Linked DNA regions of Saccharomyces cerevisiae S288C. The gene in region 4 interacts genetically with the main gene of each other region. Each region holds a gene or a part of one and is shown on either strand. Other genes may lie near its edges.

What was found.
Region 1: mutations in ULP1 (region 4) and ESC1 impair growth when combined (synthetic growth defect), as found in Saccharomyces cerevisiae (one study listed by BioGRID).
Region 2: of ULP1 (region 4) and SIZ1, a mutation in one rescues a mutant of the other (synthetic rescue), as found in Saccharomyces cerevisiae (one study listed by BioGRID).
Region 3: mutations in ULP1 (region 4) and MSC6 together harm fitness more than expected from each alone (negative genetic interaction), as found in Saccharomyces cerevisiae (2 studies listed by BioGRID).

The regions. Positions count from the first base shown.
Region 1 is NC_001145.3:705,365-714,317, reverse strand, and holds ESC1 (Esc1p), read right to left. Parts: upstream 7,186-8,953; coding exon 2,209-7,185; downstream 1-2,208. Other genes in the region: FMP42 (Fmp42p), read left to right, coding at 1-387; ERG8 (phosphomevalonate kinase), read right to left, coding at 647-2,002; transport protein particle complex II subunit TRS130, read left to right, coding at 7,431-8,953. UniProt on the Saccharomyces cerevisiae protein: Involved in the clustering of telomeres at the nuclear periphery, forming discrete subcompartments that accumulate a complex of histone-binding silencing factors like SIR4. Required for SIR4-mediated anchoring and partitioning of plasmids.
Region 2 is NC_001136.10:1,287,878-1,295,482, forward strand, and holds SIZ1 (SUMO ligase SIZ1), read left to right. Parts: upstream 1-1,528; coding exon 1,529-4,243; downstream 4,244-7,605. Other genes in the region: TRAPPII-specific subunit TRS120, read right to left, coding at 1-61; ADE8 (phosphoribosylglycinamide formyltransferase), read right to left, coding at 338-982; STE14 (protein-S-isoprenylcysteine carboxyl O-methyltransferase), read right to left, coding at 4,495-5,214; DFM1 (Dfm1p), read right to left, coding at 5,492-6,517; rRNA-processing protein RRP17, read left to right, coding at 6,816-7,523. UniProt on the Saccharomyces cerevisiae protein: Acts as an E3 ligase mediating SUMO/Smt3 attachment to septins and PCNA. May be involved in chromosome maintenance.
Region 3 is NC_001147.6:999,093-1,006,158, forward strand, and holds MSC6 (Msc6p), read right to left. Parts: upstream 4,134-7,066; coding exon 2,055-4,133; downstream 1-2,054. Other genes in the region: SOG2 (Sog2p), read right to left, coding at 1-1,736; GDS1 (Gds1p), read left to right, coding at 6,045-7,066. UniProt on the Saccharomyces cerevisiae protein: May be involved in the control of meiotic sister-chromatid recombination.
Region 4 is NC_001148.4:510,663-517,746, reverse strand, and holds ULP1 (SUMO protease ULP1), read left to right. Parts: upstream 1-3,568; coding exon 3,569-5,434; downstream 5,435-7,084. Other genes in the region: CTF19 (Ctf19p), read right to left, coding at 1-96; VTC3 (vacuolar transporter chaperone), read left to right, coding at 729-3,236; ECM23 (Ecm23p), read right to left, coding at 6,083-6,646. UniProt on the Saccharomyces cerevisiae protein: Protease that catalyzes two essential functions in the SUMO pathway: processing of full-length SMT3 to its mature form and deconjugation of SMT3 from targeted proteins. Has an essential role in the G2/M phase of the cell cycle.

The DNA.
Region 1 (8,953 bases), on a different chromosome or scaffold from region 4:
TTGTTCACCACTTCTACCGCTATAGGTGTTTTTGGCTTGATTCCAAATTCATTCACTTGGAACTTAATAGGTATAGTACTTCTGGTAGTGTACAGACCATTTTATTACACAGTTGTTTCTGATTATTCTTCAAAAGTTTTTGGATTTGACACATTTGGTACTGTTTATGGGTTATTGTCCTGCATTTGTGGTATTTTCAACATGAGTCAAAACTTACTGGACAAATGGACACATACTACTTTCAACATGAATCCATTCCCAATAAACCTTACACTGGTAATCCTCACAGTCGTTTTTTCACTAACTTTAACATTTTACATACGATCTCAGATTTTGCCCAAGCCCGTGAATGAAAGAGGATTGTCCTCCAACTACCAAACTATCTGAGTGCACACTTTCAAGCTAACACGCACTTTATTTATATTTAAATGACATAAAGTTATATATCTAGAAAGTTTATTTATCGTTCTCAGTACCATCCTCATCCTAGTATGTATAGCTTGTACCCATTAAAAGAATTTTATCATGCCGCCGAAAGGAACAATTTCAAGTACTATCGGAAGATGAATGGTTAGATGTTAAGCGCTGTCACTTCAAACTTCACATTTATAAAGATGTCACATGGACCACTATTATCTACCTTAAGTTATTTATCAAGATAAGTTTCCGGATCTTTTTCTTTCCTAACACCCCAGTCAGCCTGAGTTACATCCAGCCATTGAACCTTAGAAAATCTTTTGTCATTAGCGGTTTGAGCCCTAAGATCAACATCTTGCTTAGTAATCACTGCAATGGCGTCATAACCACCAGCACCAGGTATTAAGCAAGTAAGAACTCCTTTTAAGGTCTGGCAATCATCCAATAAGCTAGTTTGTACGGGAGGTTCGATATCGGCACCAGATTCTTTAGTTATTTTTCTAAAGGAACGTCTAATTGTGGCAACTGCATCTCTAACTTCTGTGATTTCAGGATACTTTTGACAGGTACAGTCATTCCTCTCAAGAGACTCAAATATCTGATCGCTGTAATCGTCATGAGTCTCGTGTAAGCGATCTAGTTTAGATAGTCCATCCATAAATCTAGAATTTGCATGATCGAGTTCTGTATATATTTTCAAGCTTTCTGGCATATGCGAATCATACCAATTTTTTACCTTCTGGACCAGTTTTACTGTTTCTGAACCATTCTTAATATCGCCCATCCATAAAGTTAATCCCGAAGGTAAATGGTTACTTTTAATCGTAATATTCCAGTCTTCTTCATCAACCAAATGCGCCAGTTTACTGCCGTAAGTAGCACTTCCAATATCTGGCAAATTAGAGATTAATGCGGGTGGGAATCTTCTATATCTGATAGATCCATATGCTGCCGCCGCTACATCAAACCCGCTTCCAATTTTACCCTGAGCTTGACAATGAGCAACTTGTGCTAAATTATGAATAACTTCTCTATATTTGTCTACATTATTTTCCAGGTCCGATACAAAAAAGGAGGCCAAAGCTGTAGTTAAAACTGTGACTAAACCTGCCGAGGAGCCCAGCCCTGTTTTGGGAACTTCTTCAATTCTGTGCGAATGAAAACTCAATCTTCTGTTGCCACGATGTTCGGTAACGCTATCCTCCTGAGAATGGTAGGCATCATCAGAGAAAATATCAATAACGAACAAGTTTCTATTGCAGTAGTCGTCCATGTTAGGTTTAAAGTAGCTAAATACGTTAGCGATAACTTTTTCAATGAAAGGGTTCTTAGATCCGCCTATCGAAACAGGAATGAAGCCACTTTTAGGACTTATATGGTACAGCCACTCCCCATCTTTAAATTGTTTACTTTTCACACGCACTTCAAACTTATCAGACCCTTGCAATGAACCGTAAGGATGGGCTACAGCATGCATTCTTGCCGATAATCCGACTACAAATGCTTCATATTTTGTATCTAAAACTAAATATCCACCAGCTAGTAACGCTTTCCCTGGGGCACTGAAGGCTCTCAACTCTGACATTTCTCGAGGCAGCCGATTGATTTATTATGAGGCCTTCCAAGATGTTTTTTCACCTTTTTTGTTTTTCCATTCTTTATATAATCTTTCTTTCCATTCGACATGACGTTAACTCCGCCTTAAAACCGAACTTTTTTCCTTTTAGATCTCGTATAGAAAAACGCATCGCAATAATTATTACTATCTACATATTCCTGTATACAATTTGATTATTTGTCAACACTTGGATGCGTATTCTGTCCACGGCTTTTTGGCTCGTGCCCCCTACGCCTTTTAGTATTTGATGCGGCAGAACTGCCTTCTGTGATTTTTCTTTTCCGTCTTCTGCTGTTGTAGTTTCTTTTACGGCTTTTCTTTTTTGCTTTAGTTTTGTCCTTTTCGCGGTTTGTTTCCTCATCATTATTATTTTCTGGAGAACTTTTATCATTGATTAGTTCCATACTTGGTTTCTGTTCTTCAAGTACAGATTTTGAAGGCATTTCCTCCTGTTCTTCTTTAACTTCTACTTTAACAGGTATATCCACTGCTTGATGTTCGGGCTCCTCACCTTCATTTACTTTGATGTTAATGGAATTATCGTGTGGCTCATTATCAACATCGTGGCTAGATAAATGTTCTGATCTATCATCCAAAACGGATGTTACATTGGTTTTATCGTGTTTCTCAAGCGTGGTGGCGGGAATTTCATCATTAATTTCCATAGGGACTTCATTTGGCGTGTCTGAGAATATTTCATACACTTCCGGTGATGTTGGCGCACTCTTTTCAGCGGTAATATTTTCCGAATTTGAATAGGGATAAGAATCTGTCACTTCTTCCTTATCAGACGGAGGATCAGATGGAAGATCTGTGGACGGTATATTTCCGCGTTGCCTTTCATCATCATTCATTTTACTAGAAGCTGCTGTCTCTGTAGGGCCCTCTATTTCCAATTCGTACAACTCAGCTTCTTCTGGCTCTGAATTTAGTTCTTCTATTGACCTCTCCTGATTGTTTGATAGGTCCAGGTCTTCTTCATGTTCGGGGTGTTGAATGCTAATATCTAACTCCGAAAAAGTGTCTTCTTCAATTGCTCCAGCATATTTCTCATTAACGGACTTTTCAAACGTGAGATCCCGTTCACGGCTTGTATTAACTTCGTCTGATTCTTCTTGATTTTTTCCTCTCCTGGAATCTTCAATGAGCCTCTGAGAATAATTCTCTAGGTCACTTAGATTCTTTAGGAGTTGTTGTCTCTTAATATCATCGGGGGCATTACTGTGAATATTTGCTGATGTTATATCTCCATATATGGTATCAAATTCTTCTTCATTCTCGCTGTGGTCTTTCTTTTCGAAATGTTGCTCGGATTGTAAACCTTCAACTAGCGGCTCTTCCGACTTATGCAAATTTTCCTTGTCCTTTACTTGCTGTCGAAACACTTCGGAGTCCTCTTCATAAGCACCGTTTGTCGTGGGATCGATGTTTATCACACGAGAATTATTACCATTGTCATTATGTGCTTCTGCGGTAACTCCTCCGAGTATGACAGCTTCATCTTCATCGCTGTCTCTCTCTTTGCTACTTACACTTTTCATATTAACAGATGCATCGGTAGAATTCGACTTGTTAAAAATGTCTTGATTATAATCACCAATATCAACGTTATCATCACTCTCAGAATCCATAACATCAATTTTTTTCACGAATGATTCAGCTACGTCGACTACCTTACCCACTCCCTTAACTACAGCTCCAATAACACGAATTGGGGATGAAAAAATATTTGATCGATCAGATTCTGGCTTCAATGGTTCCACAGACTCAATTTCCGAACTGGACACCCGAATGTCCAAATTATGTTTTGCAGATCCCTCAACATTTTTTTCAGCTGTGGAGTCTTGGTCTCGGTCTGAATCAGAGCAAGCTTGGCTAACCTGATCATGCATATTGGTATTATTTTCCAGGGCTTTTGTGTTTTCAATGGTAGTTGCTCTTCTTTCAAAGAGCACTTCGTTGTGCGTTTTTTCCACGCACGACCTTTCTGGGATCTCCATATTATTTCCAATCGCATTCTCATCTATTCTTTCGATAATGGAAATGTGTGCTTCCTCCGTATCTGTATTCTGGATATAGTATTTTCTTTCACCAGCTTCGTAATTCGCTTGCGCCTCTTGATTGATGACGTCGGTGTGCATGTCTTTGTTCTGAACATTTACGGATGAACTGACATTGGCTTCGAAAAGTGTTTCTTCTTCGTGCACCTTATTAACTTTTTCATTTTCTGGTTCTACTATTCCGAGAGTATCCTTTTTTGTACCTTTAACTATATTTTCATTACTGCCTTCATCATTGCCTGGTTCTGGATCCGCATAATCTTGTTCATATGAATCCTCACTTTCCTCTTCATCAAGCTTATCAACTACTTCAGCTTTTGTAAGTTCCTTCTTGAGTGATTCGTCGTCTTCAAGATCACTATTTCTTACTTTATATTTAGTAGAAGAGAATTCAGTGTTGTCGTTGCTTTCTTGAAAATTGTCTGGCGAATCTGTTGAAAACGAAATTTGAGTTTTACTACCATCATCATTCTGTTTTACGCATTCATCGCCAGAAGACATCTCAGCTTCGTTCATATCCTTTTCACAGTATCTTAAATTTTCTTCTACATTTGAAGCCGTTTCAATTATGTCCTCGCAGGAAGAGTCTCCTGTAACGTTGGTATAATTAATCGCTGAAAAGTACTTTTCATCCGTGTTATCTTCAGTTGACTTGTCAGTACTGTTAGCCACGCCTGGAAAATTTTTACTTTGATTTTTATTTTCATCACCTGTATTTTCATTTTCAAAAGTAACGTTTTCCGTAGATTCATCCAAATCGCTCACCTGTTTAGTTTCCTTACTTGTGTGAAAAATGTTTGTGTGCCCAGATGTAGATGTCAAGCATGATTTCGTCACTCCAGCTTCCACAAATTCTGCATCCTTTTTGGTGAAAGCTGGGGCAAGGGCTGCTAACGTTGATTTCAGTAGGTCATGCTTCTTTTCGTAATCATCGTTCAACGAATTGAATGGGTCATTCATAAATGGTGAAGTGTACTCCACTTGCGGTGGCATGGCAACTGTGTTATCTTCGTAAGAAGTAGAACTATACACAGATTCAGAAATTACTACTTCATATTTCGGAGTTGTTTTGATTTCCATAAGAGGAACATCGGTAAGATTCTCTGATATAGCATCAGCGTCATCGAGTGAATAATAGATACTGTCTTCATTTCCTAATGATGAATTGTTAATCGTAGTATCTGTGGATAGTGGTACCAGTTCTTTTTCTGTAGAACCGTCCAGTTTCTTTTCAGAAACTTTTTCAACCTCTATTTCAACAGAAGATGAAAGATCACCTCGGTCTGTTTTTAAATTATTATTGTTTTCACCTGTGAAGTCCTTTAGGGGTATTTGCTCTTCGGATTCGTCTAAAGACCTGCCCGATAAGTTGCTTCCATTTGAGTGCCCTAAATAAGATTCGGATACCTGCTCCTCTTTTTGAGGGCAGTTCGAATTTCTACTTTGTTGGAATTGAAGCATAGCCCTTGCGGCGAGATCATACAAATTATCAGGGGAATGCTCGTGCAAATCACTTTCGACACTTTTTCCTGTTACGTCATAACCTTCAACATCGTTAATTTGATTTTCTCTTTCTACTATAGCAGGATCAGTTTCATTCTCCAAAACATTTTCCGAGTATTCACTTTTGTTGTTGTTTCCGTGAAAATTTTTGTCTAGAGAGCTTCTGATAATGTCATCTTTTTCAGGTTCTTCGTCATTTTCCTGTTGTTCCACTTTGTTCTTAGTATAAGCATCTTTAGCGAAACCTTGGTCTCTGCTTTCGCTGGTATTCTCAGTTTCTTCTGACGTGCTTTTTTCGTTTTTCATTTTATATTCAAAATCATCTTCACTTCCTTGTTCGCTTTCTTGTGCACTTTGGGATTCACTATCTGAAGATTCTATATCTTCTATTAGTTCCTTATCATCCAGTTCATGTTCATTATGGTGGTACACATTTTCAGCATTTGCTGAGTAACTTTCAGCTTGACTTTCTTCATCCTCGGACTCATCGTCAACTGAAATATTTACTGAACCGAAATCAAATGCACCGTCTTCTGAATATCTTTGATGGACTTTGTGCTCATCAGATTCATATTTTTCGATAACGGGGATCTTAGTATTATCTGTTCTAGGCTGCATGTATTTTGAAAAATCTACCGAATGTTCTGTTCCTTCTGCACCCTGACTTTCATCTTTTTCAGCATCGCTTTCCACATCAATGTCGTCTTCTAATTCCATTTCTACTCCCTCTGAATAATTCTGTCCTTCACTGGAATCAGAAGAACTAATTTGTGTAGCATTCTCTACATTTGCCTGTTCTTGCCCTATATTCTTTCTCTCAACTTGCCCCTCCTCTTCGGCATATTCATCATTCGATACATCTTGTAGTGCTCCTTCCTCTGCATATTCTTCATCTGATAATATCATTATTGAAGGACTACTTTGGCCGTCACTATTCTTTTCTTCTTCAGAGAGCTCGTATTCATCATTTTCAAGATCGAAATCTTTGATTAAAGATTGTTTACCTTCCAGATCTTCATCCTTATCGGAGTCGATATTTGAGGACGACTCGTCCTCAGCGTCCGGTAAGGGAGAACTTATGAAACTATCTAAGGGAATTTCATCATTATTTTGGAAAGAAGTATCCGTTCCGTATTGGCTCTTCCTGAGATCGATTAGTCGCTGATGAGATTTACTGTTTCCTGTGTACTTGTTCATTAAAGAGTCATGAAGCTGAAAACGTTGTCTTTCCTCCTCAAGACTACGCTCAAACAAGGCATCTTCCTTTTCTAGTGTAGTAAGTATACTTTTCCCCCTATTAATTAGAGAATCTACCCAGCTTAATGCCCTCGCACTATCTTCATGAAGGGATTTATTATGAATATGACTGCTTCGCCTGGAGGAAATAGATTCATGTAAAGTCGAGTGCTGAGTAGGCTTTGCTACTCTGTATTTATCATTGTGGACCCTTGAGTACCCATGTTGATCTTTCATTTTGGAATCCTCGTCCGCGTCAAGGAGAGATGACAGTATTTTCAGTTTTCTTCTTGGGGTCGTCAGTTTAAGTTTATTTGCCCTTGGAGTAAAGGTTTCTTTTTTTTTTGACATATTTTCACAGTATAGATTTATTGGTTCTTGTACTTAACCCCTTGGTGAATTTACAACGTGTTCAATATACTTGTCAATAGGACTAAAGACTTTCTCGCATTTTAAATTCCTTTGTTTTCACTTCTTAAGAACAGCTCGCGGAACATGAAAATGGTGAAAAGTGCAAGTTAGAAGTTTTGAAAGAAAGTGAGCATAAAAGCAATAAAAATAGCCAGTGAACTTGCTTTTACATGCTAATATAGTAGATGGATAAAGAAATATATTGTGGATCGGTTCCTGTCAGCTATTTTGACCCGTTTGATTTATTTGAGAGTCTGAGGCCAGAGTTTCAGCAGATTTTACCGTTAGACAATATACATTGGAAGGCATTTGACGGAACTGTACGAACGGTTAACAGGCTTCCAATTGAATTGATTCCAGAAGGTAGAGGGGAGGCAGACAAGTCTAATGATGAACAGCCGTTTATCAGATTTTTGATAGTGAACTGTATCTCTATCGACCAATACAGGGCCAAAGTACGGCCTCTTGTGAGACAGTGGCTACCAAATCTGGAATCTGTATCTTCATCGACAGGAGAAAAAATGATTTATAAACCAATTATTTTACTGTATGCCAATTCTGAAGTAGTGGACTCTAACCTATTCAAATCGGTATCCCTAATGGAGAAATTTGGCAAAGACTTTCCGCATGTACAAACTTTGGAAGTTCGATCGGTTTATAGATCTCCCAAAGAAAGGCAGGAGTTTTGGAACCAATTTAGCCAAAAGATTAAGGCTTCCGTACTGAGCATCTTTCAAAAACGATTGACACATTTGCAACATTCGTTGGCCAATTTACAAAAAGGAAATAACTTTGAGGAACAGCTTTTGACAAGAGAAAAATTGTACGAGTTATATGTGGTATTCAATATTTTGGAAGATGCCAGCCTGGAATTGCAAAAAATCAAAAAAGAAATACTCCGTAGAAACATGAATATGCCGGATGGAAAACTTCAGGTACCTTTTGAATCATCTTCTAAATCAGATGAATCACTGGGCTCCATAATAATAGAAGGTACACTCGATAAGTTTCAATTGCATAAGTATTTTTTCATTAGAAGGTTAAGACTTCTAAAACTAGAGGACCAGACGTTGACCGCCTTTGTAGGAGCATTTCAACTAATCAAGAATTTTATTGAATCCATATCAATAGAGTATAGAAAGTCTGTGAGATTATTGGAATTTAAGCACTATTTTATAACTTCGATGCTGTCATATTTTGAATTTGAGAATGTCTCAAATCCTCTCTTGTGTGAAATCAAAGCTGAGTTATTAATGTTGAAGCGCGACAACTGGGTGCAAGGTGTTATGGCTACAAGTGGTTATAGACTAATGGACAAAAACTACCCTAATAGTGACGTTAAATACAAATTTGATCTATTAAAAGAAACTTTTGTCGATGAAACTGTCTTCCAAGAAAACTTCCTTACTCTCACCAAAGAAATTCTTTCTCTCTTCAACAAATGTGAAGGGAAGCGTCAAAGGATAGTAGATATTTTATCCATTGAGATAGGTTTGCTTTACTATCAGGGAAAGAAATATGAGGAGGCAGTCTCGCTTTTCCTTTCCTGTTACGAATATTATACTCAAACGAACTGGAATAGCATTGGTTTGAAAATATTGCAAGTTTTCATTGATTCCTTGAGCCACTGCCCCAAATTAGACGTCTTACAGATTGATGGGGAATCAGTTTCTGCATCGGCCGTTTTAACTAATGCATTTCTCAATAT
Region 2 (7,605 bases), on a different chromosome or scaffold from region 4:
TCACTAAGGTCCTAATCTTAGATGGGCCAACATAGCTTGGGAAATGCTTAAGAATATTCATGGTTTTTGTCTCCCTGTAACAGGTTGTGAGCCGCACCTTAAACCAGTTATACTAGAACCGTTTAAACTACAATCTGGCCTGATTTTAGTTTTGCAATAACACGATTAAGCGTTTACACATGCACATTCATATATAAGTATACGTATTTACACACATTTTATTCGAAACCTTTAAGATCGTTTTGTCACAATCCATGATCATGATTTACGACGCGAGATGTTTCGCGCCTCACTTTGAAGAATGCCAAATATAAAAGTATAAATATGGGAACTATTCTTATTTGTGAAGCTGCTGTAAAACCTTATATGTAGCTTCTACAATCGCGATGTGCTCAGCATCGTGTACCCTTTGCTCGTACTGCTCTAGTGTTTCTTCGCCAGGTATGATTTCTAGCTTTTTTACCACCAATGGCTCACCCTTGTCGACCTCCTCGATGACATAGTGCACCATGCATCCGGCCGTCAGAGGCTTGTTCTCGTCCTGACATTTGCGCCATGCCATTTCAATTGCGTGTGTGGTACCATCGAAACAACCTGGTAGCGCTGGATGCAGATTTAATATCGGCACAGATTGCAGTTGGCTCAAGAAAGTAGATCCAAGGATCAATAACCAGCCCGCGCAGATGATAACGTCAGGCTTTTCCTCGAGCACTAGTTTTGCGAGGTCGTTCTCAAACTGGGATCTTGCCTTGGCCCTTGCGGCTTTGTCCTCCTTCGCAATACCCTTTGTATATGGGTATAGCGAACAAACCTTTGTGGGGATATTATTGTCCGCTGCCCTAGTTAACCCGTATGCCTTCTTGCTGGAAGATATGACAGAGACAATATGAGCATCCTCGCCTAATTGGCCCTGCTTTTGGGCATCGATCAAGGCTTGCAAGTTGGAACCTGAGCCCGAAATTAATACGACAATTCTGGCCATAGCTTTTGGAAAGATTATTGATGTGTGTTGGCTCTCACCTGCGCTTGCTGCAAGTTAAATCATCAACCTTGAGGCTAGGAGCGTTATTCAACTTTAGAAGTGTCTTCTCTTCATAAACTACTCTATATAACTTTCCTCTTGCTGGAATAAAAAACAGGTCAGAGTCACTAGCAACGAGTCACTCATTCGAATCCTTGCTGACGCTTTTAGTCTTTATGCTGAAATCTATCTTCGAAGTCGGAAGGAAAATGCATTTTTAAACTATCACTAGAACTACCATTTTAGAGCGAGCAGAAGGTTCCTCTTTTCTTAAACAAGTATAATTTTCCTTTTTGGATTGTACTTTATATTCTTACACTAAACGGCCCCTAGATGTCACCTGAGCTGTAGTCAATGTATACACCCATTCACCGCACCAGATAGTAAGTTGAAAAGTGTATCATCTTTAATATGAATATGAAAGAATGAAGTGGAGTTCATCCATATTTCACAAGAAAAGAAGACTCCAACTCAAACAGTTGAGTGTTCCATATACATTCTGTTTCAATGATAAATTTAGAGGATTACTGGGAAGATGAAACGCCTGGGCCTGATAGGGAACCGACTAATGAACTAAGAAACGAGGTGGAGGAAACCATCACTCTGATGGAACTGCTGAAAGTGTCCGAATTGAAGGATATTTGCAGGTCTGTATCTTTCCCGGTTTCCGGTCGCAAGGCCGTTCTACAGGACCTTATCAGGAATTTCTTGCAGAACGCTTTAGTAGTAGGCAAGTCTGATCCTTATAGAGTTCAAGCCGTTAAATTTCTGATAGAACGGATCAGAAAGAATGAACCTTTGCCTGTTTATAAAGATCTTTGGAACGCTTTAAGAAAGGGTACCCCATTGAGTGCTATCACAGTACGTTCTATGGAGGGGCCTCCCACGGTGCAGCAGCAATCACCTTCCGTTATTAGGCAGTCTCCCACTCAACGGCGGAAAACGTCTACCACATCTTCCACATCTCGTGCACCACCACCTACAAATCCAGATGCCTCTTCTTCTTCATCATCTTTTGCTGTACCGACAATTCATTTTAAAGAGTCTCCATTTTACAAAATACAAAGGCTAATCCCTGAATTAGTGATGAACGTGGAAGTCACAGGCGGAAGAGGTATGTGCTCTGCGAAATTTAAATTGTCCAAAGCAGACTATAATCTATTAAGTAACCCGAATAGCAAACACAGGCTATACTTATTTTCTGGGATGATTAATCCATTAGGATCCCGAGGTAATGAACCCATCCAATTTCCATTCCCAAATGAATTAAGGTGCAATAATGTTCAAATCAAAGATAATATAAGAGGTTTCAAGAGTAAGCCGGGCACAGCTAAGCCGGCGGATTTAACGCCTCATCTCAAACCTTATACTCAACAAAACAATGTGGAGCTGATATATGCCTTCACCACGAAGGAATACAAGCTATTTGGGTACATTGTAGAAATGATCACTCCGGAGCAACTCCTGGAAAAAGTATTACAGCATCCAAAAATTATTAAACAAGCCACGTTACTTTACTTGAAAAAAACACTTCGGGAGGATGAAGAAATGGGCTTGACTACCACATCTACTATCATGAGTCTGCAATGTCCAATTTCGTACACAAGAATGAAATACCCTTCAAAATCAATAAATTGTAAGCATCTGCAATGTTTTGATGCATTATGGTTCCTACACTCCCAACTACAAATTCCTACGTGGCAATGCCCAGTATGTCAAATTGATATAGCTTTGGAAAATTTAGCAATTTCCGAATTTGTTGATGACATTTTACAGAACTGTCAAAAAAACGTTGAACAGGTAGAACTTACTTCTGATGGTAAGTGGACAGCCATATTGGAAGACGATGATGACAGCGACAGTGACAGCAATGATGGTAGTAGAAGCCCAGAAAAAGGTACTTCAGTATCGGATCATCATTGTTCTTCTTCACATCCAAGTGAACCGATTATCATAAATCTCGATAGTGATGATGACGAACCAAATGGAAATAATCCTCATGTTACTAATAATCATGATGATAGCAACAGGCATAGTAATGATAACAATAATAATAGTATCAAAAATAATGATAGTCATAATAAAAATAATAATAATAATAATAATAACAATAATAATAATAATGATAATAATAATAGTATCGAAAATAATGATAGTAATAGTAATAATAAACATGATCATGGTAGTCGCAGTAATACTCCCAGTCATAATCATACTAAAAATTTAATGAACGATAATGATGACGATGATGATGATCGACTTATGGCGGAAATAACTAGCAATCACCTTAAAAGTACTAATACAGATATTCTAACTGAAAAAGGTTCAAGTGCACCCTCGAGAACCCTGGATCCAAAAAGTTATAACATAGTTGCTTCAGAAACTACTACTCCGGTGACAAACAGGGTTATTCCTGAGTACCTCGGAAACAGTTCCAGTTATATTGGTAAACAATTGCCGAACATTCTGGGAAAAACGCCTTTAAATGTGACTGCTGTTGATAATTCATCCCACTTAATCTCTCCAGATGTTAGCGTATCATCCCCAACGCCAAGAAACACCGCTTCAAATGCAAGTTCGAGCGCTCTCAGTACCCCTCCCTTAATAAGAATGAGTTCATTAGATCCCAGGGGATCCACTGTTCCCGATAAAACAATAAGGCCTCCCATAAATTCCAACAGTTATACTGCATCGATATCAGATTCATTTGTCCAGCCTCAAGAATCTTCAGTTTTTCCACCACGTGAACAGAATATGGATATGTCCTTTCCTTCCACCGTGAACTCAAGATTTAATGATCCACGTTTGAATACCACAAGATTCCCTGATTCAACATTGCGTGGGGCAACTATTTTGTCGAATAATGGGCTTGATCAAAGGAATAACTCTCTACCAACAACAGAAGCAATCACGAGGAATGACGTCGGGCGACAAAATTCTACGCCTGTACTTCCCACGTTGCCCCAGAACGTCCCAATTCGTACAAACTCTAACAAGTCTGGGCTTCCTTTGATAAACAATGAAAACAGTGTCCCCAATCCTCCCAACACTGCAACCATACCGTTGCAGAAGTCCAGACTCATTGTAAATCCATTCATTCCAAGGAGGCCTTACTCTAATGTACTGCCCCAAAAAAGACAACTTTCTAATACATCCTCAACTTCACCCATAATGGGTACATGGAAAACGCAAGATTATGGAAAGAAATACAACAGTGGTTAAAAACGAGGCTAAAATTGGACGGTTCCGTCCAGCTCTTTCATGAAATATTTTCTTTGTAATTGTGCATATGACCTTCATTTTCTATAATTTTCCGTTCGAAAAAGAAATATTTTCTTCTTTTCAATACTCAAAGGCAATATCACTGTTTGCATTCCCCTAGCATTTATTACCTACCAAATACAGATGCACAAGATTAGATAAAATCTTACATAACACAAAAATCCAGTCCATAACTAACACAATCATTACTATTATATAAAAGGTATTCCGACACCAACCTTATTCTTGTATTCTATGTATTCCGCGCTAAAGAACTCTATCAAATATTTTTCTTCCACACGAATTCTATCACTGAAAAATTTCCAAAGTACAAAAATGAAAATAACCAATGATAGGGGATTTAGAAGCAGTAGCTGAGTGCCAATTGCCCACCAAAAGAACCCAAGATAACTTGGATGTCTTGACCAGGAGTAAACGCCAGTTTTCACTAAAACATGATCGGACTCCTTCTTGGTCTTCACAATATGAGAAAAGGAATGTCCCGCAGTATGCATAGCAATAGTTCTGGTATATTGTCCCAGAATAACTAGAAGACATCCAAGTACTGTACAAAGCTTGGTAGCTAGAGAGTAGCTAAAAATTTTCAGATCAGGAAAAAGAAAGCTTTCTACGAGGCATTCCAGAATAGCAAAGGAATGTGCCGCCATGTAACTTTTGCCGTTGTTCAGAAGAAAGGACTCTGAATGTACCTTAAGAGGATTGTATTTAGCTGTAATATAATACTCCAAAAAATGGAATAAGGACAGGGCAATAATAAAGAGGTTAAAATTCTTGAATCTAATTTGTGGAAAAAGACCAACAAATATACCTAAAAGAATCCCCAGTATGTAGGAAGTCATGGTCACCTCATGCAGCGGATTGCGTCTGATGTCTGGATACTCATGCTCGTCTTCTTGAAAATCTTGGTGCATGTTGTGTTCAAAAACGGTGACCACAATGAAAGAGGAGGTAAAAAGAGTAATTATCTTGAAATCGATTTTCACTTTCTTATATAATTCATCAACACGAGAACCTTTCTATATACTGGTGGTATCATGTAAAGAATTGTTTTACCATAGTGGCCCATTTGTCAATTCGTCTTGAGTGATGTTTCATTATCAATCGGTTGCTATGCCAACGAAAATACTATGTCAGACTCTCTTGATGTATATAATGAATGGCAAAGTACATAGAAATAGATAAAAGTTGTTATTGTGAGTCGGAGGGGCTGTTTGTTTGTCCTACTCGTTGGCCGCGGCCTTGAAATTGGTTCAAATTCGATGGGCCACTTCTTAATTGACTTCCAGAAGCTCTGCCTGAATCTGTGCCACTGGTTTGAGACAATGTTGCAGGGGCCGTACCCAATCGTTGACCTCTTCCACTAAAAGTTCTCGTTTCTCTTTGCGAAGATGGCACATTGGCAAAGTTGTTGTTGAATGTTGCAGTTTCATTGTGGGCACCCGTTATGCGAGCATATAGACTAGTAAACCACCATGGCGTTGAGAATTTCCCATTGGGCGAGATTCCGTAGGTTGGATCAGCTTTTCTGGATATCATCCCCCATATTGGCCCCAGTGTATGGGTATCTAAGCATGTATAAAGGTACCCTGTAGTAAAACCGATCAATGAGATTACGAAATCACCCTCATTAAAAACGAAAGAGATAAACAATTGAATTAAGGGGAAGTACTTCCCCCAAACAGGAATCAAACCATAAAACATGATCTGCACGTTGGCATTGTCGATCGACCAAGTATATGTAATGCATGATATGAACCCAGAGGTGAGCACAACAGGGTAGTAGGACCCATAAATGATTGTAGTGGCCGTAGTGATGGCTAGTATACAAAAGCACAGGTAGTAGGCATAGTCTACTGTTACCATCGGTCCTCGTCTATTGGACAAACCGGGACCAAAATGCCCTCGCTCCAACTGTGAGGACCTGTCATAAATACTATATAGTTCCATTAGCGCAGGCATGGCACGAGACGAAAGCATTACACAAGAAGTAAGAAGTCTCCATATCTGAACCTTCTTGAACGTCAAATTCCAAACATAAATAAAGTACCACGGATTGATTAGATTCAACCGGCCGACGATCGTCATAACGATCGCTAGAGTAAATAAAGTTCTTGTTATTGGGGGGATATTTAACCAGAATTCTTTTGGGCCCATCACATCATTATTACGGCCTCCATTTCCATGTAATGTACGCACATTCCTTGGGCCTGCCATTATTTCCTCGAAAATAGTTTTTGATTTGACTTGGAAATGCGGAATTCACTGGTAATTTGTTGTATTTTGCCTTATATCCTTTGTTTGATACTCTTGTCTTATATTGAAGAGGACACGATTTCATGAGCCGCGAACGGGTAAGTAGGGACTTTTCACATTTGAAATTTTTCAAATGTGATGAGGATCGATTCTGCAAAGCAGCAGATAATAGCAGATAAAAAATAGAGAGTTGCAATATTCAAGTTCCTGGTAGCTGCTCGAATCAAGAGGGGTGAATTAAAGGTTTTCGATTTTTGCTATGGCTGTTCACACCAATAGGCAAATCCTTACAAGAGGCAAAAACTATGCTACAAAGCAATCAAAGAAATTCGGTACCGATGAGGTGACGTTCGACAAGGATTCTCGTTTGGATTATCTGACTGGCTTTCACAAGAGAAAGCTTCAAAGACAAAAGAAAGCACAAGAGTTTATTAAGGAGCAGGAAAGGCTTAGAAAAATTGAAGAAAGACAGAAGATTCGGCAGGAACGTAAGGAGGTGATGGAAGAACAGTTAAAGACGTTTAAAGAGAGTTTAAACTTGGAAGCTGAGATAGAGGATGCGAAAAATGATAAGACGGAGGATTTGCAGGTAGAATCTGATGAATCCTGGCACGGGTTTGATTCTGATAAAGATGACGGCGATAACGACAATAATGAAAGTAGCGTAAAGCCTATTTTGAAGAAAGGAGCAATCACGGAAATATACGATGACTCAACTACTGTTGAATTGGAGACATTGGAACCCAATGATAACTTTGAATATTTAGCCCAGCTAAATAATGTCAAATTAGAAAAGGCAGAAAAAGTACTCAAACAAAGCATAAATAGAGCCACCAAATACGCGAAGTTTCTGGGCGTGGATGAGAAACAAAAGAAGAAGCCAAGAGTAAAAAAGTTCAGATATTTGACCAAAAATGAACGAAGAATAAACCAAAGAAAGGCAAACGACAACAAGCGTAGGAGATAATGCAGTCGCATTATCGTCGGGCACCGCCTGGGGTTTCTTGACGCTCAAACAGTGTTTGATTTTTTTTTGGAAAAGTATATAC
Region 3 (7,066 bases), on a different chromosome or scaffold from region 4:
TCGCTGATGGATTTATTGTGCTGAAGCAGCTGTTGCCTTGGAATAGTATCGCTAGTAGTTTTTACTTCATTCATGTTCGTTTGAGAACTTCCATTGCTTATTGCATTTTGGTGTCCCAAAATTGGACCATGGGTGTGTGCACCATTTAGATTTGGTGATAAAAGAGGAACAGCAGTGGTATCACCCGTCAGAATATTACTATTTGAAAGCAATGCAGATGCAGATGGTGTTCTTGTGCTCCTTGTTTTCGGCAGTAATTTTATGTTTCCGCTACAATGTGTACTGGTCGTACTTGCTGCGGGTCCTCCACCGCTTGTGATACTACTGGACGATGTCTCGTGCCTCGAAAAAGAATGTTTCTTGGGTGCCTTACTTGCAGAACCGGACACTTGATCATCTTCTTTGATAAAAGACCATGCATTATACATTTCCATATAAGCACACATTAATGTCATATAAAACATCCTTATGAAGCATAGATCGTCTTCTTTGAAAAAAATCTCAAAATTTTTTCTCAACAATGTTATAATTTGTTTAAAATTTGTGATGATAGTGAGGCACAGCTTGATTAACGCCTGATCATGCGATTCGTCTTCGTTCTCTGTTTGCTGCAAGACCTCCACCAGATTATCAGTATGTGATCTGACAGAGTATAATAATGATACTACATTAACCGCTACGGCCTTCTCTTTACAGAAAGAGGCGATTTTTCTGATAGCTTGTTGGCATTCTGTAAAACTAAATAGGAGCTTCCGACAGGAAACAACCAACTCTGCATGCGATATTTTTTGATGCCCGTTACTCATTGACTCTTCTGGTAAAATCGACAACCTCTTGAAGTAGTCATTATATTTGGTGTGATTGTATAGTTCCGTACCATTCACTGCCCCACTTTGTTCTGATTCTGCATTGACTGTACCACTGAAAGATGTTGCAGAGGTTTGATTAGATGAGACCATTGCAGTAGATGCACTTATAGTTGTATTTGCACTTGGGGCAAGTGAAATTATATTGTTTTCATTCATTGCTCCATTAGACAAGTTCGTATTTATGAATCCCATTCTTTTCGCTGCTCTAGATATTTTAGGTTCTGGAGTAGGTAGGTTAGGATGATCTTTTAGATATCGTGATATCGCAATTGCCCAATATTCTTCTTTGGGGATGCCCGTATGAAATGGAGTATAACTCTGTACTTGGTCAAGCTCTTCTTTGGGTATTTTATTATCCTCTAAATCCAAGATGCTCAGCTTGTTTAATTTTGTGATCGATTTCAAATTACGTATGCTAGTAACGTTGTTGTCTTTCAATGATAATACACGAATATTATCTTGCCAAAACGATGATATTTCATCTGGCAATGCTTCAATCTCATTGGAGGACAGATCCAAGATCTCTAATTGAGGGCATTGTGTCAAAATATATGGGATTTCTTTAAAATTGTTATTATGCAAATCCAGATATTGCAGCCTTGATAACCTCTTGAAACTCGCTGGTAAGGATGTTAAGTGATTTTTCCTTAAAGACAGTCTTTCAACATTTTGGATATATCCCACATCTTCATCTGATATGGACTTGATATTAAGAGCTATTAATTTTAGTGTAGTACCACTAGAGCTGGATTTCTCTTGTGTTGCCAACTCAGATATTATAGTGTTGCTTGAATTAGTGGATGTTTTGTCAGCAGGCAAATGTTCCTCCTTCGGATCCAACGTCCTCTTTGAAGATGTCGCTACCATACGTTACGGATACTTATAGACTTAACTCCCCCCAATAAGTTCAGGTGAAAAGTAGCATGGAGTTTTGGCATTAACTTTATTTGCCCACTTATATTTAGAGATCTTGAAATACTTTTTGTTACCCGACTTGTAGCTTCATTTTTTCATTTTTTTTTTTTTTTTTTATTTTTATTTTGTATTGTTCTTTGAAAGAATCATGCATGGAAGCAATAACTATTATACGGAAGTTATATACAAGAAATCATTATATAGTTACAGCATCATATGTGCAGAAAATTGGTTCTGAGCTTTTCTTATTGTCTTCTTATGACAAGTGTATTAAGTCAACTTTTCTGGAACAGTAATTCCATCACATTCTTTTAAAATTTGAATATCCTTAGGGTTGGGACGAAAACCCTCATTAGTGCCTAAATCTCGCATAAACTGGTTAATAAAAGCAACCTCTTTGTCAGATAACTGCTGAGTATTGCGTGCAAATGTGGCCAAGTTGAATAGAATTTTCGAAACGGCCAAGTTCGACACCCTGATACTTGAATCCTTAGCTAGATTGTAGTACTTTTCGATGTAGGGAACGTACTCGCTATGTTTACTCTTGTAAAGTTTATCACAGAACCCCAATAATAAAGCATTTAGAGGCGTATTATCCACGTTTCTCTTTCTAGTCTTTTGATATGAGAGAAAATCAGAAAACAAATTCTTTGCCTCGGCCACTGTGCCGTCAGGCTTATTAAACTCTGCGGAAATAAAGTCTGCATAATTCCTAGCATTTAAGTGAGTTCCCAATTGTTTGTAAAGTTGACGAATCGGCTCGACAGTGGGGCACACTGAAATAAAGGCTTTCGTAATCTTTTCAACCTTTTCATAATCGGTGGGATTAATGGAAACACTTTGCAATAGATCGAATTGTGGGCGTGTATCTTCTGCCTGAAATTTATAATTAGCGTACATTTTAATGCTTAGAGTATCCAAAGTAGGGGGTAACACACCATCTGATGGATAATGGTTATAGTAAAATGTGTTGAATTGTTCTTCGCTCACTTTTTCATCATCTAACATTAGCAATAAAACTTTATTGAACAACTTCTTGGTTTTAACAGTCTCTGCTAACTCCCCTTTGACTTGGTCATACTTTAGAGGCGAAGTTTGACATAAGGCCAGGAGAAATGCTTCCTTCACGATGGGATCTTTCTTGAACTTTTTAGGAAGTTCTTCTTCCCAAAATTCCTTTAAATGGTTGAAATTTCCAGAATCAGTTAGTGCGTTAACTAGCGTCGCATAAGATGTGTTTTTAATATTATCTCCTGGTTTGATAACACTGTTCCAGACTGCTAGAATTCTGTCCAACTTCTCTTTACTCGATTTAGCTCGTAAGTGCGACACAGCTCTTAAAAGACAATCTTTCAGCGACGTACTATTTGGGAAAACCTTGCTATACTGGTTATAAATAGTAACAACTTGGTCGGGTTTATCCAAATCAATAAACTTGTCCATGAACTTGCTTATGATCTCTACATTTTTCTCACCTTCAAGTTTATTGTATTGGCCATAAAGATCCCTTAAATCTATCCATCTAGGAGCATTTTCAATTTGACTTAAGAAATGATCACTATCCTGTACTGTGTATTGATAGTACAAAGTGTTTAGATTTTTGATAATCACGTCTCTTCTTTCAAGAGAGCTAAATTCTGTACTTAACATTCTTCTAATCATGTTAAAAGGTAAAACCTGGCCCATTTTACGATCGATCTGTAAAATCTTATACAGAATATTGATATCCACAGTATTCTCTGGTAAAGATAAGTAAGCAATGGTGGTAATTGCAATATTTTGCATATGTGCACGAGAAGAACTATTTTGAAGTAAGATCACTGGGTTTTCGGAAATGGTTTCCAAGTACTTCACCCATAAGGCAATAACGTCCTGTGGTGATTGATTATATAGAAGGTACTTTAAAACAATCGTGAAATGTTGTGAGCGTGCCAATTTGTATTGGCACAATGTGTTTAATACTTGATAAGGATCTAGCGTCATATTTTTGCTTCTGTAACTTAATTCCTGTAGGAGATCCGAAGAAAAATTCGCTAACAAGTGTGATCTTTCCATAGGTGAAGGGTTCCTTAATTTCTGTTTCAACGATTCAATCTTATCTTTAAAGTCATTAAAAACTTCATTGATATCTGAATCTGGAGCTTTCAACTCGTTCTTCAAATCAGCAGCCAAATTTTGTACCCTTTCAAACGGTGAGACGTGCTTTTCTCTATTTCCTGAATGTCCATCATCTGTTTCTTGTAAGTGAACGCTGCTTTGTTGGTATATCGATGTTGAAGAGGTTAGACATCTTCGTGAAATAATCACCTTTGAACAATCAAAGGCCCTTAAAGCATTATGGGAAAGCATCTGTATCCCAGTGGAAGGCTCTGATATTATTTTGTGCAGAGCCAACTTAAGCAAACATATAGACAGTACGTCCTTAGTTAGACATGTGTAGCAATTGAACGATTCCACAGGCGGTATGTATATCGTATATGATGATATTACATTTTACTTACCCCGCTTTTTCCCTCTTATAATCGATTAATTACTTAGTCGACGAGCAACCTTTTATGGCATATTTGAAAGGTAATACAATGTTCCAACTTCGTTTTTTATTCACAGATCAATTAACGTATTGGCACACCTGATATTTCCTCAATAGTAAGTAGTTTTGGTGATGTAACTTTGACACTACCTTCGACCGAATATTCACTTATAAAACTTATATATTACTTGCTTTTACTTCTAACTTGTCTGGAGAGTTCAATCTTTGTTTTCAGCTCTATATACCGGTTTTCTGCATCGGCGGCTAAATGGTATTCTTTTCCGCTTGGCTCTACACAATGTTTATTAAGCTGAGCGTCGGTGTTTCCGATTTGGACCGTTTGACTTTCTTTTTGGACTGGTTTTCTTTTTTAGTACGAGGTGTACGGACAAAAGATACTAACGGACAAAACGCGGTTGCAACTGAAATTTTTTTTTCACTATTTTCGTAGGGCACATTGGTGTAAATATATATATATATACTCAAGGTTCATCTCGTTTTTTTTAATATTCTTGTTCCTTACTCTTGATCATACGTAGAATGTATGTCTTTATCCTGAAAGTAAAGAAAGGATTATACAATGCTGAAATGTTAGTACTAAATATGAGCATACAATCACTTGTTGTTCACTAGTTCAACGAGTTTCATTCATATTCAACTCACGCAAGGGATTATGGAAGAAGAATCCTTTTTATGAAAGGGAAAAAAAACCGAAATACTATGTTAACTGCTTCCAACGCTCTATACTAATGCGCATGAAGATTTTACTTGCGAATCAAACTGATTCGCACGCAATATCTAAGTCTGCTATACCTACCTTACATCTCGCCGTATGTTATGGGTGCAAGGGTGTTTTTTTTTTTTTATATTTTTTTTGTTTGGGGTTTTCGATACTTTGTGAAGGAACGACGCAGAAAAAAACGAAAATCATACGCCCGATGAAATTTTTGATAAGAAAATTTTCTGAAAACCCATGCGATGAGAAGTCAAAAATTTTTCTTCTTCTCCTTTTCTTGTACTTTTATCCCGGCTAGTTCTTTTTCTAAAATTTTCATATTCCAGTCCAATATTTTACTTCATTTTTTTTTTCTGTTCTCGCTTGGCTTGATTTAATTTTTTACGTAGGTTTTTTTTACACGATATTGTTTGTATTATCAGTATTCCCTTCAAGCTCCCCTTTTTTTTATCAATTAAGGTTCTTGGTAATTTCTATTTCTGAAAAACCAAAAACAAAAAGTCATTGATTGACTATTTGACTCAAATTACCAAAATCATAACTTTTCTTTTCAGCATTCCATTATTGAAGGCTTTAAAATAATAGTTTCTTTTTTCCTATTATTTTATTTTTTCCTTTACATTGGAATACATTTTATTTTGAGTTTTAATTTTTTTTATTTTCTATTCCATTGTTTTTTATTTGCTTTGGACTGCCCTTTTCGTAATAATTTCCCTTTTTACCCTATTTTAGTCACTTCTGTGTCAGCAAGCGGGATTATATAAAGAAACGTTAGCAGAAACAATATCAGCAAAATAGAAAATAAACGGGCAATCAATCAATAACTACAGAAATATTGGGAGGTTTTAACTAATTTTTCCAGGATATTTCAACTTTTCATAAATCAAATTTTTTTTACTTTTTTTTTTGCTTTGCTATAGTATTTTAGAAAAGGACAAAAAAATACGAAAAAAGACAAAAAACCATATAAAAAAATTGATTAGAAGAACTTATAATGGCATTGGCAAATTCCAGACCTTTGCAAATACCAACTTTAGAGAATGAAATTCTTCATAACTCAAATTCTCCAGTATTTCAGTTGAATTCAATGGGATTTACAACTAGAGCTGACACTATTTCGAATCCAGGCACGGATCTTATCGGCAACCAGCCAGGCATGGCCCTTGATGATAATAATTTGGCCGGTTCTTCGTTTTCCTCATCTCAGGAAATAAAAGCTACCAAACCTAAGAAGGACTTTGGTGCTCCCAAAAAAGACAATCCATTATTAGAAATTTCTAAGCTAATACCTGTTACTGGTGAGAGGCCAAAACCCGAAAATAGAGACTCCCCTCTGGATGATGACGTTCTTCACGCAGTTTTTTTAATATTATGGGAAATGGATCCGAATCAACAAGGCATGACCGTCAAACAACTGTGTGACTTGCTTTTGCAAAAACATCCAGATATGTCCAATTTATCAACCAAGTTGTCAAATTTAATTTCCGCAAAACTGAACGCTTATGTTAAAAAAATTGAAAAAGGTGAGAAAACGTTAACTTATGCTTTATCAAGGGAATGGTCTAATTCATCTCCTAGAAGGATGCTCTATATATACAGAGGCATATTATCTCCCGATTACAAGGAGCATGCTCAAGCTGTTACGATGCAACTTAAACAACAATTGGAGACCTCCGGTGATACAAGCGACTTTAATTCAAATGGCAAGAAAAAAAGGGAGTCCAGCAGTAACCAGCTAGTTAACAATGACAGTTATTCAAGTTCTATGACGGACATGAAAAATATGTCTTCTAACAGTTCCTTCTCAAAAAATTTGAATGTAGGGAATCTGGCCTTTTCATTAAGTCCAGAATTCAACATACCTTATTCCACTTCTCCAGTGTCACTAAATCTTTCCCCATCGATGAGTAATAATCAGCAACAATTACTGACACCTAATTCGGCATCGAAGAGTAAAAACAATAATAAAAAAAGAAATTACATGGATGAAGATACTAACGAGTCAATGACCGAGCC
Region 4 (7,084 bases):
TGCTTCACCAGCATGATGTGTACCCACAGCGTCTTCCAGACTTAAATGCGAATTCGATGTGTCGTGCGAATTCGTCGTATCAGACGTAAAATCCATATTTGCGTTCTTTGCCGACCTAGTATCAACAAGATCACACTAGCTCCAAGGTATATAGCTGTTTATATAAGTCTAAATTACGCGTTTCTGATTTTTCGGCGGACTCCAACTATTAGATAGTCACCATTACCGGTTACATTACCGGCCACATAGTAGAACGCCAGAGTATATATGCCGTGACCTTCACGGTTTGGATGTTAATGAGTAACTTGCACAGCTATTGGTATTTGGACTTCTTGGCACATTTTTCCCTGTACAGCTTTTCTTTTTTTCAATGTGCGAGGGCCCACGTGGCTTAATACAACACAGTGCAGTCGCAAGCACGTGCATGCGATTTTGAAAGCACAAGGCAGAAACGTGGAAACATACACACACGCACACACCCAACTTTCGAGTGGGTTTCATCCAGGAAGAACTTTTAAATAGAGGCCAGAGAGCGGCTTACATCAGACATCTTTTCTCGAACTTACTTCATCTTCTCAATATCGAGAGGGCCCATTGGCGGGTAATAATACGCATAAGAGTGATCTAATCCAAGTAGTACCTCCTTAGCGCTTTTTTTATTATCACTATAGGTCATTTGGCTATTAGAGCGAACAGCAGAATTTGTCCTTGGTTTTCAGAGTTTGAAAATGCTATTTGGTATTAAACTGGCTAACGACGTATATCCTCCCTGGAAGGATTCATATATCGACTATGAAAGGTTGAAGAAATTACTAAAGGAAAGCGTCATACATGATGGCCGTAGTTCCGTGGATAGTTGGTCCGAAAGGAATGAATCTGATTTTGTGGAGGCCTTGGATAAAGAACTAGAAAAGGTTTACACATTTCAAATTTCCAAATATAATGCTGTCTTGCGAAAATTAGATGATTTAGAGGAAAACACTAAATCAGCTGAAAAAATCCAAAAAATAAATTCTGAGCAGTTCAAAAACACCTTAGAAGAATGTCTAGATGAGGCTCAAAGATTGGATAACTTTGACAGGTTAAATTTTACTGGGTTTATCAAGATTGTGAAGAAACACGATAAATTACATCCAAACTATCCTTCTGTAAAGTCTCTTTTACAAGTCAGATTGAAAGAACTTCCTTTCAACAATTCAGAAGAGTATTCTCCCTTGTTGTATAGGATCTCATATCTGTACGAGTTCTTGAGATCAAATTATGATCATCCAAATACGGTGTCTAAATCATTAGCAAGTACTTCTAAATTATCACATTTTTCTAACCTTGAAGACGCAAGTTTTAAAAGCTACAAGTTTTGGGTTCATGATGATAATATAATGGAGGTTAAGGCTAGAATCTTAAGGCATCTACCTGCTTTGGTTTATGCGTCGGTTCCAAATGAAAATGACGATTTCGTCGATAATCTAGAATCAGATGTCCGCGTACAACCTGAAGCGCGCTTGAATATTGGTTCAAAGAGTAACAGCCTTTCTAGTGATGGTAATAGCAACCAAGATGTTGAAATTGGAAAATCAAAGAGCGTTATTTTCCCACAGTCATATGATCCAACAATCACTACATTATATTTCGACAACGATTTTTTTGATTTGTACAATAACAGATTGTTGAAAATCAGCGGTGCACCTACGCTGAGATTAAGATGGATCGGTAAACTGCTAGACAAACCTGACATATTTTTGGAAAAGAGAACTTTTACAGAAAATACCGAAACTGGTAATTCAAGTTTTGAAGAAATCAGATTGCAAATGAAAGCCAAATTCATCAACAATTTTATTTTTAAAAATGATCCCAGTTACAAAAACTATTTAATTAATCAACTAAGAGAAAGGGGTACTCAAAAGGAGGAACTGGAAAAACTTTCTAGAGACTTTGATAACATCCAAAACTTTATTGTTGAGGAGAAGTTGCAGCCAGTTTTGAGAGCTACCTATAATAGAACTGCTTTCCAAATTCCTGGAGATCAAAGTATTAGAGTCACTATCGATTCCAATATCATGTACATTAGAGAGGATTCTTTGGACAAAAATAGGCCCATTAGGAACCCTGAGAATTGGCACCGTGACGATATTGATTCCAATATTCCCAACCCATTGAGGTTTTTAAGAGCAGGAGAATATTCGAAGTTCCCCTATTCTGTAATGGAGATTAAGGTTATAAACCAAGATAATTCTCAAATGCCTAATTATGAGTGGATTAAAGATTTAACTAATTCACATTTAGTTAACGAAGTTCCAAAATTTTCTTTGTACTTGCAAGGTGTGGCTTCACTGTTTGGTGAAGACGATAAATATGTCAACATTTTGCCATTCTGGTTGCCCGATTTAGAAACCGACATCAGAAAGAACCCTCAGGAGGCTTACGAAGAAGAGAAGAAAACTTTACAAAAACAAAAGAGCATTCATGATAAACTTGATAATATGAGAAGGTTATCCAAAATCTCTGTACCAGATGGAAAGACCACTGAAAGACAAGGGCAAAAAGATCAGAATACTCGCCACGTTATTGCAGATTTAGAAGATCACGAATCATCAGATGAAGAAGGTACTGCATTGCCCAAGAAATCTGCAGTCAAAAAAGGGAAGAAATTCAAAACGAATGCAGCTTTCTTGAAAATTCTTGCTGGAAAAAATATTTCAGAAAATGGAAATGATCCATACTCCGACGATACAGACAGTGCCTCTTCTTTCCAATTACCTCCGGGAGTTAAAAAACCAGTTCACCTTTTGAAAAATGCCGGTCCTGTCAAAGTTGAGGCAAAAGTTTGGCTCGCCAATGAACGTACATTCAATAGATGGTTAAGTGTAACCACATTGCTGAGTGTATTGACCTTTTCTATCTATAATTCAGTGCAAAAAGCCGAATTTCCACAACTAGCTGATCTGTTGGCCTATGTATATTTCTTTTTGACTTTGTTTTGCGGAGTATGGGCTTATAGAACCTACTTAAAAAGATTAACTCTTATTAAAGGTAGAAGTGGTAAGCATTTGGATGCACCTGTGGGACCTATTTTGGTTGCAGTTGTATTAATCGTTACCTTGGTTGTTAACTTTAGTGTGGCTTTTAAAGAGGCCGCTAGGAGGGAAAGAGGATTAGTAAACGTTTCCTCCCAGCCTTCGTTACCCCGTACACTAAAACCAATTCAAGATTTTATCTTCAATTTGGTTGGGGAATAAGAACATGTATATTTTTTATATACACATATATTACACAAGTACCAGTTACTATCATAATTAATTAATTGTTCTCTATTTATACATATTTGCTCTTCCGTATTAAATCATATTAAACAGCTTTCAGCAGGTGCCGGCGCCGCCTCTTTTTATTTTCAAAATTCAAAATGCACATAATGAGAAGATGTGTGTGATAGTTAAACCCAGATCAAAAAATAGCTGAAACGTTCGTTTCAGCTCCGCAAATCTATATTGCTAATTAAAATTATTCATCAATATCTACTTCTGTTTCAGTTTTTTTCCTCTTCTTCCTCTGACCTTTGGATATCATAATAATGTCAGTTGAAGTAGATAAGCACCGGAACACACTACAGTATCATAAAAAGAACCCTTACTCCCCTTTATTCTCCCCAATTTCTACATATAGGTGTTATCCTCGGGTATTGAACAATCCCTCCGAGTCTAGAAGATCAGCCAGTTTTAGTGGTATTTATAAAAAAAGAACCAATACGTCAAGATTCAATTATTTAAACGACCGCCGTGTTTTATCAATGGAAGAATCAATGAAAGATGGGTCAGATAGAGCTAGTAAAGCTGGTTTTATAGGAGGCATAAGAGAAACTCTTTGGAACTCAGGTAAGTACTTATGGCACACATTTGTGAAAAACGAACCTCGCAATTTTGATGGTTCTGAAGTAGAAGCAAGTGGTAACAGCGACGTTGAGAGCAGAAGTTCTGGAAGTAGGAGCAGTGACGTACCATATGGTCTACGTGAAAATTATTCCTCGGATACAAGAAAACACAAATTCGATACGTCGACGTGGGCCTTACCAAATAAAAGGAGAAGAATCGAAAGTGAAGGTGTGGGGACACCTTCAACCTCACCAATCAGCTCTTTGGCTTCTCAAAAAAGCAATTGTGATAGTGACAATAGCATAACTTTTTCGAGAGATCCTTTTGGTTGGAATAAGTGGAAAACAAGTGCTATTGGTTCTAACTCAGAAAATAACACTTCTGATCAGAAAAATAGCTACGACAGGCGACAGTATGGGACAGCCTTTATTAGAAAGAAAAAAGTTGCAAAACAGAACATTAACAATACTAAACTGGTGTCGAGAGCACAATCTGAGGAAGTAACATATTTACGACAAATATTCAACGGAGAATATAAAGTTCCAAAAATATTAAAAGAAGAAAGAGAAAGACAGTTAAAATTAATGGATATGGATAAGGAAAAAGACACTGGCTTAAAAAAGTCTATAATCGACTTAACTGAAAAGATCAAAACAATTTTAATTGAGAACAACAAGAACAGACTACAGACAAGAAATGAAAATGATGATGATTTAGTATTTGTTAAAGAAAAAAAGATATCTTCTTTGGAAAGGAAACATAAGGATTACTTAAATCAAAAGTTGAAGTTTGATAGATCTATATTAGAGTTTGAGAAAGACTTCAAAAGATATAACGAAATTTTAAATGAAAGAAAGAAGATTCAAGAAGATCTTAAAAAAAAGAAAGAACAATTGGCCAAGAAGAAACTTGTTCCTGAATTAAATGAAAAAGACGATGACCAAGTACAAAAAGCTTTGGCATCTAGAGAAAATACTCAGTTAATGAATAGAGATAATATAGAGATAACAGTACGTGATTTTAAGACCTTGGCACCACGAAGATGGCTAAATGACACTATCATTGAGTTTTTTATGAAATACATTGAAAAATCTACCCCTAATACAGTGGCGTTTAATTCATTTTTCTATACCAATTTATCAGAAAGGGGTTATCAAGGCGTCCGGAGGTGGATGAAGAGAAAGAAGACACAAATTGATAAACTTGATAAAATCTTTACACCAATAAATTTGAACCAATCCCACTGGGCGTTGGGCATAATTGATTTAAAAAAGAAAACTATAGGTTACGTAGATTCATTATCGAATGGTCCAAATGCTATGAGTTTCGCTATACTGACTGACTTGCAAAAATATGTTATGGAGGAAAGTAAGCATACAATAGGAGAAGACTTTGATTTGATTCATTTAGATTGTCCGCAGCAACCAAATGGCTACGACTGTGGAATATATGTTTGTATGAATACTCTCTATGGAAGTGCAGATGCGCCATTGGATTTTGATTATAAAGATGCGATTAGGATGAGAAGATTTATTGCCCATTTGATTTTAACCGACGCTTTAAAATAGTTATTCTTTTATAATATACAATTATTATACATAAGTAGAAATATTCAGATCATTGGATATGGAATAAAGTTCAATAAACCACTTGAAAATAAATCATAAGAATAGCATAAGCACCAGCTCAATTTAGATGTCTGTACAAAAAGTAATATATTTTAGAGATGAGCAGGCAGAACCACACATTAGTGACGATTGTCTTCGACCTTATGTGGAATCTTAAGCTTTAACATATAAGTAAAAATTTTTATTTTCAACAAAAGATTAGAACGAAATGAAATTCCTTAATTGAACCTTCTCTTGGATATCAATCTATTGGCAATCATTCCTAGAGAATATATTATTGAGTGAAAACTGTAGATACGTGCTAAGCGGTAAAGCCCTTATGAACATCGTCACACTATCTCTATATTGAGCCTCCGTAAATTTCGAATCATTTGAAATTCATTTTTCCTGGTAGGAAGATACTTGATAGTGGAGGATAAGTAAAGTAAATTGTGGTTATCATTTATTTGGTGGTAAAGTACCTTTTTTATGTTTTTTTTGAAGATGGAAATTCAGGCATTTTAAAAAAATAGAAAGCTCGAAATATCTCAAAAAACATAAAAATAGAGGAAGAATCCGCTGAATATACCATCTTTACAAACTACTTAACTATTTATTTTTAAATATAAAATTTTTAGTACCATCATCGGAGGATTGTTGCGATCGTATTTTTTTCTCCATTTTTTTCCTATATGCTATGCCACATCGACTACATAGCTCAACATTTCCATTAGGTCCACTTCTCCACTGAGAAGTCCAGGTGTCACCACAAGTGGCGCACTCTTTTGGTTGACCGTTGGGGAGTATAGTTTGTTTCTTCCTACTTTTAGGTCTATATCCTGCTAAAGATTTCTTTCCATTGGATGATATTGGTAGTGATGAAAAAGATGGGGCTGGTAGAATAGAGGGGTTATGCAAAGGCCCACCAAGACGACTTTCTTCCTTCAATTTTGGACTCAGCGCACTATTTAAGCTTTTGATCTTCTGTTCAAGAATATCTGCTCTTTTTAAATCTGGCGTGACACCAGATTTCGGGATACTGGCTACTGAACAGCAATAATTGGGATTAGCGGCAATGAACAGAACCATTTGTACAAAACGATCGAAGTGGAATTTCGTTCTACGACCAGAGCTACTAGCGCCGCTTGTTCCCTGCTCTTTGTTATATAACATAATATGATTTAAAAGTTCTATCACTCAGCACTACAACGCAGTATTTTTATTCTAGATGACCAGTATAGCAAATATTGTTACCCTTGAGATATTGGTAATTTAACCAAATCTCAAGTCATAAATGCCTCCCTTTTAAGTTTACATAGGCAGTGGACAGATTGGTACATCATATTAAAGGAAATAATGAACGCTAAAAAGAATGCCTTTTACTGACACATTCACTTTTAATACGAAAACGGATTTTGTGGTATATGACGTTGAGCACTGCGTGGTTTTCTGTGAATCCGCCGTGCCTAAAATGGACCCTTAATTATTTAACAATAGACCGGCCCGAATAATGTTAACATGAAGGGAAAAGTGCACATAACTGCAAACTACTTTGGTAGGTTGATTATCAGAGCTAAGCCATCCTACAGGTAATGATTTCCAAATTTTTTC